2 linked regions of the Xenopus tropicalis genome follow. The protein of the gene in region 1 purifies or fractionates together with the protein of each later gene. This does not show direct contact. Links are inferred from orthologs where the notes say so. Each region holds a gene or a part of one and is shown on either strand. Other genes may lie near its edges.

The links. The genes of interacting proteins can lie anywhere in the genome.
Region 2: the proteins of polr2c (region 1) and med19 purify together in Homo sapiens (affinity purification with mass spectrometry; 4 studies listed by BioGRID and IntAct, with this or other methods). This does not show direct contact. The link is inferred for Xenopus tropicalis from reciprocal best matches to the Homo sapiens genes POLR2C and MED19.

What each region holds. Positions count from the first base shown.
Region 1 is NC_030680.2:76,284,845-76,289,157, forward strand, and holds the start of polr2c (DNA-directed RNA polymerase II subunit RPB3), read right to left. Parts: upstream 2,820-4,313; 5' UTR 2,795-2,819; coding exon 2,709-2,794; intron 1,176-2,708; coding exon 1,126-1,175; intron 920-1,125; coding exon 851-919; intron 279-850; coding exon 226-278; intron 1-225. UniProt on the Homo sapiens protein: Core component of RNA polymerase II (Pol II), a DNA-dependent RNA polymerase which synthesizes mRNA precursors and many functional non-coding RNAs using the four ribonucleoside triphosphates as substrates.
Region 2 is NC_030683.2:55,860,796-55,864,315, reverse strand, and holds part of med19 (mediator of RNA polymerase II transcription subunit 19), read right to left. Parts: intron 1,007-3,520; coding exon 884-1,006; intron 1-883. UniProt on the Homo sapiens protein: Component of the Mediator complex, a coactivator involved in the regulated transcription of nearly all RNA polymerase II-dependent genes.

The DNA of each region.
Region 1 (4,313 bases):
AATTGGTCCTTCATCTTATCAAAAACTTGTCCCACCCCCAAGCACTCCATCACTCACAAAGCTGTTGAACTCCAAGCCCTGCCAGAGACCAACACAGGTTATTAACGTATGGATGTCTAGAAACGCATTCCTGTTAAAACTCTGAAAGTGTCACTATACCTTGAAAGGTGAACAACCTCTTTAATTTAAAATAGATTTAATTAGTTTCAAATACAAAGCACTTACCCTAGAGTACTGCAGTTTATCTACTATATCATCACTGGTCAAAGGGATCAATCCTAAAAAGAGAGAGAGAGAAATGCAGAATTAGACAATAACACACTTGCACTATTATTATTATTAAAGAGATACTGACACCAGAAAAAAAAACCTTTTTTATATCTATCATAACACTGTCTTTTCATGAGCTTTATAATTTTGCCATAAAAGTATTTGCAAGATGCTTTTACATTACCTATCTGATCTCCCATGTCCCTCTATGAGGGAGCGGCCATATTTGTGCAGCAGGAGTCCGTTAGCATTAGAAGCTATAACTGACAGGCTGAGAAGGGACAGTCAGGTTGGGAAAACAGTCAGGTTTAAGTAGCAATTGCTAATAAAAGCAAACCTATCAACAAAAACTGATCAACATGACCTATTGGTAACTTTTTATGTAGATTCATAATTTAAAAAGTAGTTTTTTCTTGTCAGTATCACTTATCGCCAACATATTCCGCAGCGCTGTACAATAGCAACTGGAGTTTCTCCCTAATGGCAAAACAAGCTAGACAACGTATTGCTAGTAGTGCAAGTAGCCTTAACTAGAAATATTGCCCTGCTACTCAATGTAAATTTATCTTTAAGTACTTACCAACTCTGTGAGCTATGAACTCATCGTGAAGAACAGAGGAATTTGCATCTATCTGCACCCAATCTATAGCTGTAAAATAAAACATAAACAACAAAAATGTGTTATTTTAATGTAAGGGGCACCAGAATGCATTACAAGGGGTTTTGAGATCTAATGTAATAAAACATTAATGCTCACAAACACTGCACTGAGTGTTTCCTGTTCAGGTAAGCTTTATTGCAATCATGCTGAACAAGGGCCCTTTAACCTTTCTTATGCAGGACAAGAGCACATACCTATAGTAGGAACTTCTGCTATGAACACCCTACGGATCGAGTTAGCAATTCTGAAATAGAAAAAGGTTTATTAGTATTAGATAATTAATGGCTGCTTATACAGAGGAACAAGTGTAACAATTTTTCCTTTTACTCATTATTTTATAGCAATAATACCTGCATATTTTTAGCACTCAAATACACATTTCCTAAAAATGGTTCTATAAAAAATCAAGTGCAGCATGATTACTACCTTACATGGGAAGCAGTGTTCCATTTCTTCTAATTCTAAATTTAGTTTTATGCCTTTGAGGCCTCTTAAAGGAGACATATCCTATAAAAATTATGAATGAATTATAGTGAATTATACTCCTCTAGATATAGAACGATTGTGCTTAATAATGTTGTGTTTCAGACTGATTTATTGAGAAATTCCACAAAAACCCCACTAGCCCCGCCCATCTGTTCCACTTCCTGCTGGCTGAATTCTCTGGATGAGCTGGGGAGCCGGCGGCCCTCCGTACACTGCACTGTAGGATAGGAACCAATCAGCAGCTAGGCTGACCTGATAGGGAACTGAAGCCTGTCTTTGCTTGTCTGAGTGCAGGGCTGTGATTGGCTCTCCCCCTCCTACTGTGCTTCTGGCAGGTACTGTTAGGACACGCCCATTCTTCATTTCACACTAGGGAGCTCCAATAAAGGGGCCATTTTTACAGAGAAGATTAATTTTTAGCACAAACAGAAACCAGAACCGTATATTATTCATAATTGCCTACAAAATTAGCGTTTTTCCCATTTATCCAATATGTCTCCTTTACAAAGTATGTTAGCGATATTGGTATGAAAACATGCAGTTTTTTTTTTTTTAAATGAACCCTTTAGGTGCCAGGCACTATATAATCTACTAACAGACACAAAAGGTGAACTAGAAGTTGCTCCTGAACACATGGGAAACCAAAAGGGTTAAAAGAACTACCAAAAATAAATATTCTCAATCAAAAAAGGTTAAAAAGAAGAATGGGCATCCATGCAAACAGGTGACCCTGAGGGAAATGAAACAGTTTCATACAGAAGCACCAGAAAATAGTGGAACCCAAAGAAGGAGTGATTACATTACATTAACATTTATTTATAAAGCGCCAACATATTCTGCAGCGATGTACAATATGTGGGTTACATACGCCTAACAGCCAACTTGTCACACCTCTATCATGTCTTTAGTTGCCCTTTAGAGAAGAGATGCGTCCAGGAAACCAGTGGTACCCAGCATGACATACGTCATCATATGGTGATATAGTCACACTATTATTTACACTTTTAGGATAATTAGAAACAACAGAATAACACAAAGTAGATACATGACACAATGGTGAATAAGTACCACATCATACCTAGCCGAAGTTGGAAAAATAAAAATCTAAACTCTATTTCCACCTAACCATTCCCTCGCACTTTACCACTCATTATAAATGTGGGGGTCTCAGGAATTGGGATTCGAGAGACAGGCAGTCTGGGGCAGCGAGTATGCAACATGCACACCACACATCGTTCTGAAAAAAGCAATTAAACCCATTATTCTGCCATAACAGTCAAAGGTCTCTTACGCCAAGTCAGTATTTTCCACGATAAACTTGACATTCTCGTCAGTGAGCTCCGTTATCCGCACTGTAGGCTGGTTCGCGTACGGCATCCTCTCAACACAGCAACTTAGAAACCGGAAACCGGAAGTTGAGAACCGGAGACCACAGAGATCAAGCGCGTACAGAAAGGGGTTGCCTTTCGTGGCTACAAACAATAGAGTTTGAGTTCTATATGGATCATTAACGATCAGGATGACTAGTTAAAGGCGGTGTCGGACTGGGGCACCTGGTACCCATCACCTAACATTGTAGATCATGTCTCAAGTATATTGCAACAAAATATGGGGCTTTAGCGGTAAATCTGAAACTTTGGGGTCTAAAAATGCACTGAGCATGGTGCCAACATTTTTATGCCGTTTGCCACACACTTTAGTTATAGTTACCCAGACATACACTTAAGATCACTGCGTTAAATAATTTATGATCACATTTACTCTAGACCTGCAGAAATTGATAATGTAAGTATTAACTTTACACATGCCAGTAAAATGAATGCAGCAAGTAGGTATCAGCACATTTATCTCAGGCATGTCATAAACCTTTCTTCTTTATGCCTTCATGCTGCTTGCCCTGTTCTGTCAAAGACAATTATATCTGTTCTTCTATTGCTCCTTAGATCCTCATTCTCTTACCTGCGCCACCTCTGAAAGTTTTGCCTGCATAAAAAATTAAAGATGGCGGAACACATGACCATTTTTAACTTAAACTCCCATTCAACACGAAAATGGTTTTGTTTCGGGACATAGTCGCCAGGCCTGGTGGGGCCCAACAAGGTGAAGGATAGGTGAGCAGGTGGCTAGGGCTTATCACTGAAGCATGAATTTGCCAGGGCCCAGCAAAGTGCTGGGTGGGTTGGGGCCATAAAGGAGAGAGGTGGGCTGCCAGCAGGGTCTAGCGGGGCCCAGCAGGATATTAGTTGTAATATTGGTGTGTAGGCAGCAGTCTCAGTGCATTGTGTCTGAGTCTTCAGAAAAAGCCAGCACTACACATTAGAACTGTTTTCGGCAATCTGTTGTTTCTCCTACTCCCATGTAACTGGAGGAGTCCAAAACCGGACTTGGATTTTTTACTATTGAGTGCTATTCTGATATCTAATGGGAGCTGCTATCTTGCTACCTTCCCTTTGTTCTGCTGGGAGGGGGGTGATATCACTCCAACTTGTAGCTCAGCAGTAAAGTGTAAATGAAGTTTATCAGAGCACAGGTCACATGGCTGTGGCACCCTGGGAAATGAAGATCATGGCTAGCCCCATGTGAAATTTTTTAAATTAAATATAAAAAAAGTTTGTCTTTTCGAAAAACAGATTTCAATGCAGGATTCTGCTGGGGAAGCTCTATTAACTGATGCATTTTGAAAAAAACATTTTCCGACGACAGTATTTCTTTAACTAGAAACAATGCTGAATGGCCAAAGAGGTGACTGATAAATTTGAATATATGTTTATAAGCAAATAATCTTCACAGGCAAGATTAGGTTTCCTACTTACCCCAGTAAATACACTGCAGGGGACAAGATGTAATCAGAAAGGTACGTCACAATTTACCAATATACCTGTGTTATAAGGGAATA
Region 2 (3,520 bases), on another chromosome or scaffold:
TTTATCGGTTTAAATTTAAACTGCTGCCGTTCTTTAACTATTAATACTAGGGTCCCTAAACTCTGCATAGTTAGTCACTGGGTAACTGCAGTTCCAGGTTAAAAAGTGGGCGGAGCCACCAACAGCCAATCAGATGTGACTCATTGACTTTCAGTGGGAAATTTAATTTGCTGCTATTCAGACACTATTACAAAACTTTGCACAGTGGCTCTTACTATATAACTGTGGTCCAAGGTTAGAAAAAGTGGGCCGAGCCAACAACAGATCAGATTTCATTCAACATGAAGTTTGTTCGCAAACTCCCTTTATAGTTTGGATTGATACTGTGAATAGGCTGTGACTTTAAATCTAGTAATAAGAATAGGGTTTTGAGCCTCCAAATTGTATTAATACAGAGGGTTGTACCATATCCTGTGTCAAATAATGACTAGGTTGGGCTGAGCCATCAGTGTCCCTATCAGGTGGGTCTGGATGCAATAGCTGATGTTAAGCAGGGCCCACTAACTCTTGTATTGAGCTTTGGTTGTTCTTTTTTTGATGTAATCTGTGTGTTCACTGTATACACCACCCCCTTTAATGTATAGTTCTGTGGAACATGTTGGGGCTTTATAAATATGTGTTTTTTAATGTAATTGAAACAATAAAATTAGCTGCTAGCCCAGTCAGGAGTGGGTGAGTTGTACTGTAAACAGAATTATAACTGTGTATGTTGCATCAAACAAGGCTTTGTTAACATAAACTAGGCAAAAATCTCCTTTTATCCCTTCATCACCATTTAACTTCCACAAAGCTACTTATTCTAAATGCCTTTTTGTTTTCTTTTTCAATGGTCAGCTGTAAAAACATGTTAAAAAGGCTAATACCACCTCCCTTTTTTTTTTACCTGGCAGATCTGGAAGAAAGTTGCTGAGTTTCTCTTTCATTTTTTTTCCACAGAATTTACTGAAGGAATGTTCCAAGTTGTAGTGCAAGATAAGATTGACACTGCCAGTGAGATCTGAAAGTCCTGAGGAATAAACAGACACAACTTTAAATATTTACACACAAAACTGAGAAAAAAATATTGCTGCCAATTTATTTTCAAAATCAGTGTACCTAACAGATTAGAATTACATTCTGGAGGTGGGTCAAAATTTTATAAAAGTTCTATATATAGCCACCCTTGACAGGGTTTGCTCTTACGAGTAAAAAAAAAAAAAAACCCCCAAAAAAAACAAAAATTAAAGCAGATCTAGTCAACGTCTGGGCAGCTGTTGTAGGCTAATTAATCCAGTTGATAAAGCCCCAAGGGGCAAAATGCATTACAGATACATTTACTAACCCATCCTTTACCTTGTTTCATTGTGAAGTGATAAATTCCGGGGCTTAAGAAACAGTGGTTGCACAGATTCTCTGGAAAGCAGAAGGATTTCAAATCCCAATATCACTTCACTATGAAACAGGTTTAGGAAGGAACTGCATTACAATGCGAGTCTAACAGAGTTAGGAAATAGTTTTTTACAAATATCAAATCTGTAGAATTAGGTATGTCTGCATCTAAATAGTTTCATGCAAAATAAACAAAGTAAAACATACAGGTCATAATCCTTGTTCAACAACCCCCCGCCCCCCCCCAGTTGTAAAGTTTTTAATCCATTAATGCAGTAATATGGTCCCCACTAGTTGTCTCCCCATTTCCTCAAATAACAATGCATTTAATAAATTGTGTGAGAAAAAAAAATGTAGTTTTATTACATAAACCAAAATCCAGTCTAAATCCAATAGTTACAATATCTTTACAGTCATATATTAAAGTGATACTGACACACAAAAAAAAACTACTTTTTAAAATATGAATGTACATAAAAAGTTACCTATAGGTCATGTTGATCATTTTTCACTGATAGGGCCGCTTTTGTTAATAATTGCTATTTGAAGTCCCTTAACCTGACTGTTTTGCAAACCTGACTGTCCCTTCTCAGCCTGTCAGTTATAGCTTCTAGTGCCAACGAACTCCTGCTGCAGAAATAAGGCAGCCCCCTCATAGAGGAACATGGGGGATTAGATAATATAAAAGCAGTGGGCAAATACTTGTAGGGCAAAATGATAAATGGCATGCAAAGACACGGTTATGATATATATAAAAAAAAAAAACAGTTACATTTCTGGTGTCCATATCTCTTTAAAGGAGAAGGAAAGGTACAATCATTGGAGGGGTTCTAAAATGTTAGGCACCACCCCCCCCCCCCGTGATTGTAATCGCTTACCTTATACCCCAGCCCTGGGTAGTTGTGAGAGTGATCCTCTTTCTTCTTCTAATAGGTGCACCACTCCGGGGTATAAGGCAAGCGATTACAATCACTGGGGGTGTGCCTAACATTTTAGAACCCCTCCAATGATTTTACCTTTCCTTCTGCTTTAAAGATAGAGGGGGATTTTCTGGCTGAACTGTGGTACATCAATAACACCATGACAGTTATATTAGATAGTTTAGTTGTTATAAGCCTTTATACATCAATCCCAAAACAAGGTGGTATGGGGGCTTCTTGAAAAAAAAATAAAAAATAGCCCCAGCACTAGGCTGAACCCACTGGGAGCGAGATCCCGGTGCAGGATCCCATTGGTTTAGAAATAGTCCTGCAATCTGAGCAGCAGTTACCAAGACTGCCACACTGGATGATCGAAGGGCTGCTGTAAATTTGCTGCCAGTGATAGGTGTCAGATTCTTGGAAGAGGGTGGAAAGGTGAGCTGTATACAGGGAAGCAAAAAGTACTAAAACACTTTTCTCATTAAACATGAGGTTGGCACTTATTATACATAATGCTTTATATCTGGAGTCATTTGACATCAAGCTGGCACTGCTACATGTTCTGGGGCATAAACATGTACCTTGCTATATGTATTTGGGCATTTAAAATCAAGTTGGCACTTGTATACTGTTAAAAGATAACTGCCACCAGTAAAAGTGTTGTGTATCTTAGGCTTTCTACTGAGCAAAGTTTACAGTTAAGAAGAATAAAAAGATTTTTTTCAAAATTAAGTTCATTACAAATAATTGTCGGCAGCAACAAAATGTAATCGCCATTTACTCCTGATATACTCCTCACTCCCAACTAAGCCTGTTCTGATGGTCCATTTTAATCTAATCCCCCTGGAAGAGCCAGTCGCACTGATATTTTTCCTTCACCTCAAAGATGACCCAACCTTAACCAGAAGCATGTAACATAGTAACATAGTAAGTTGGGTTGAAAAAAGACATACGTCCATCAAGTTCAACCATAATGCCTATACCTAACCTGCCTAACTACAAGTTGATCCAGAGGAAGGCAAAAAACCCCATCTGAAACCTCTCTAATTTGCCTCAGAGGGGAAAAAATTCCTTCCTGACTCCAAGATGGCAATCGGACCAGTCCCTGGATCAACTTGTACTAAGAGCTATCTCCCATAACCGTGTATTCCCTCACTTGCTAAGAATCCATCCAGCCCCTTCTTAAAGCTATATAATGTATCAGCCAGTACGACTGATTCGGGGAGGGAATT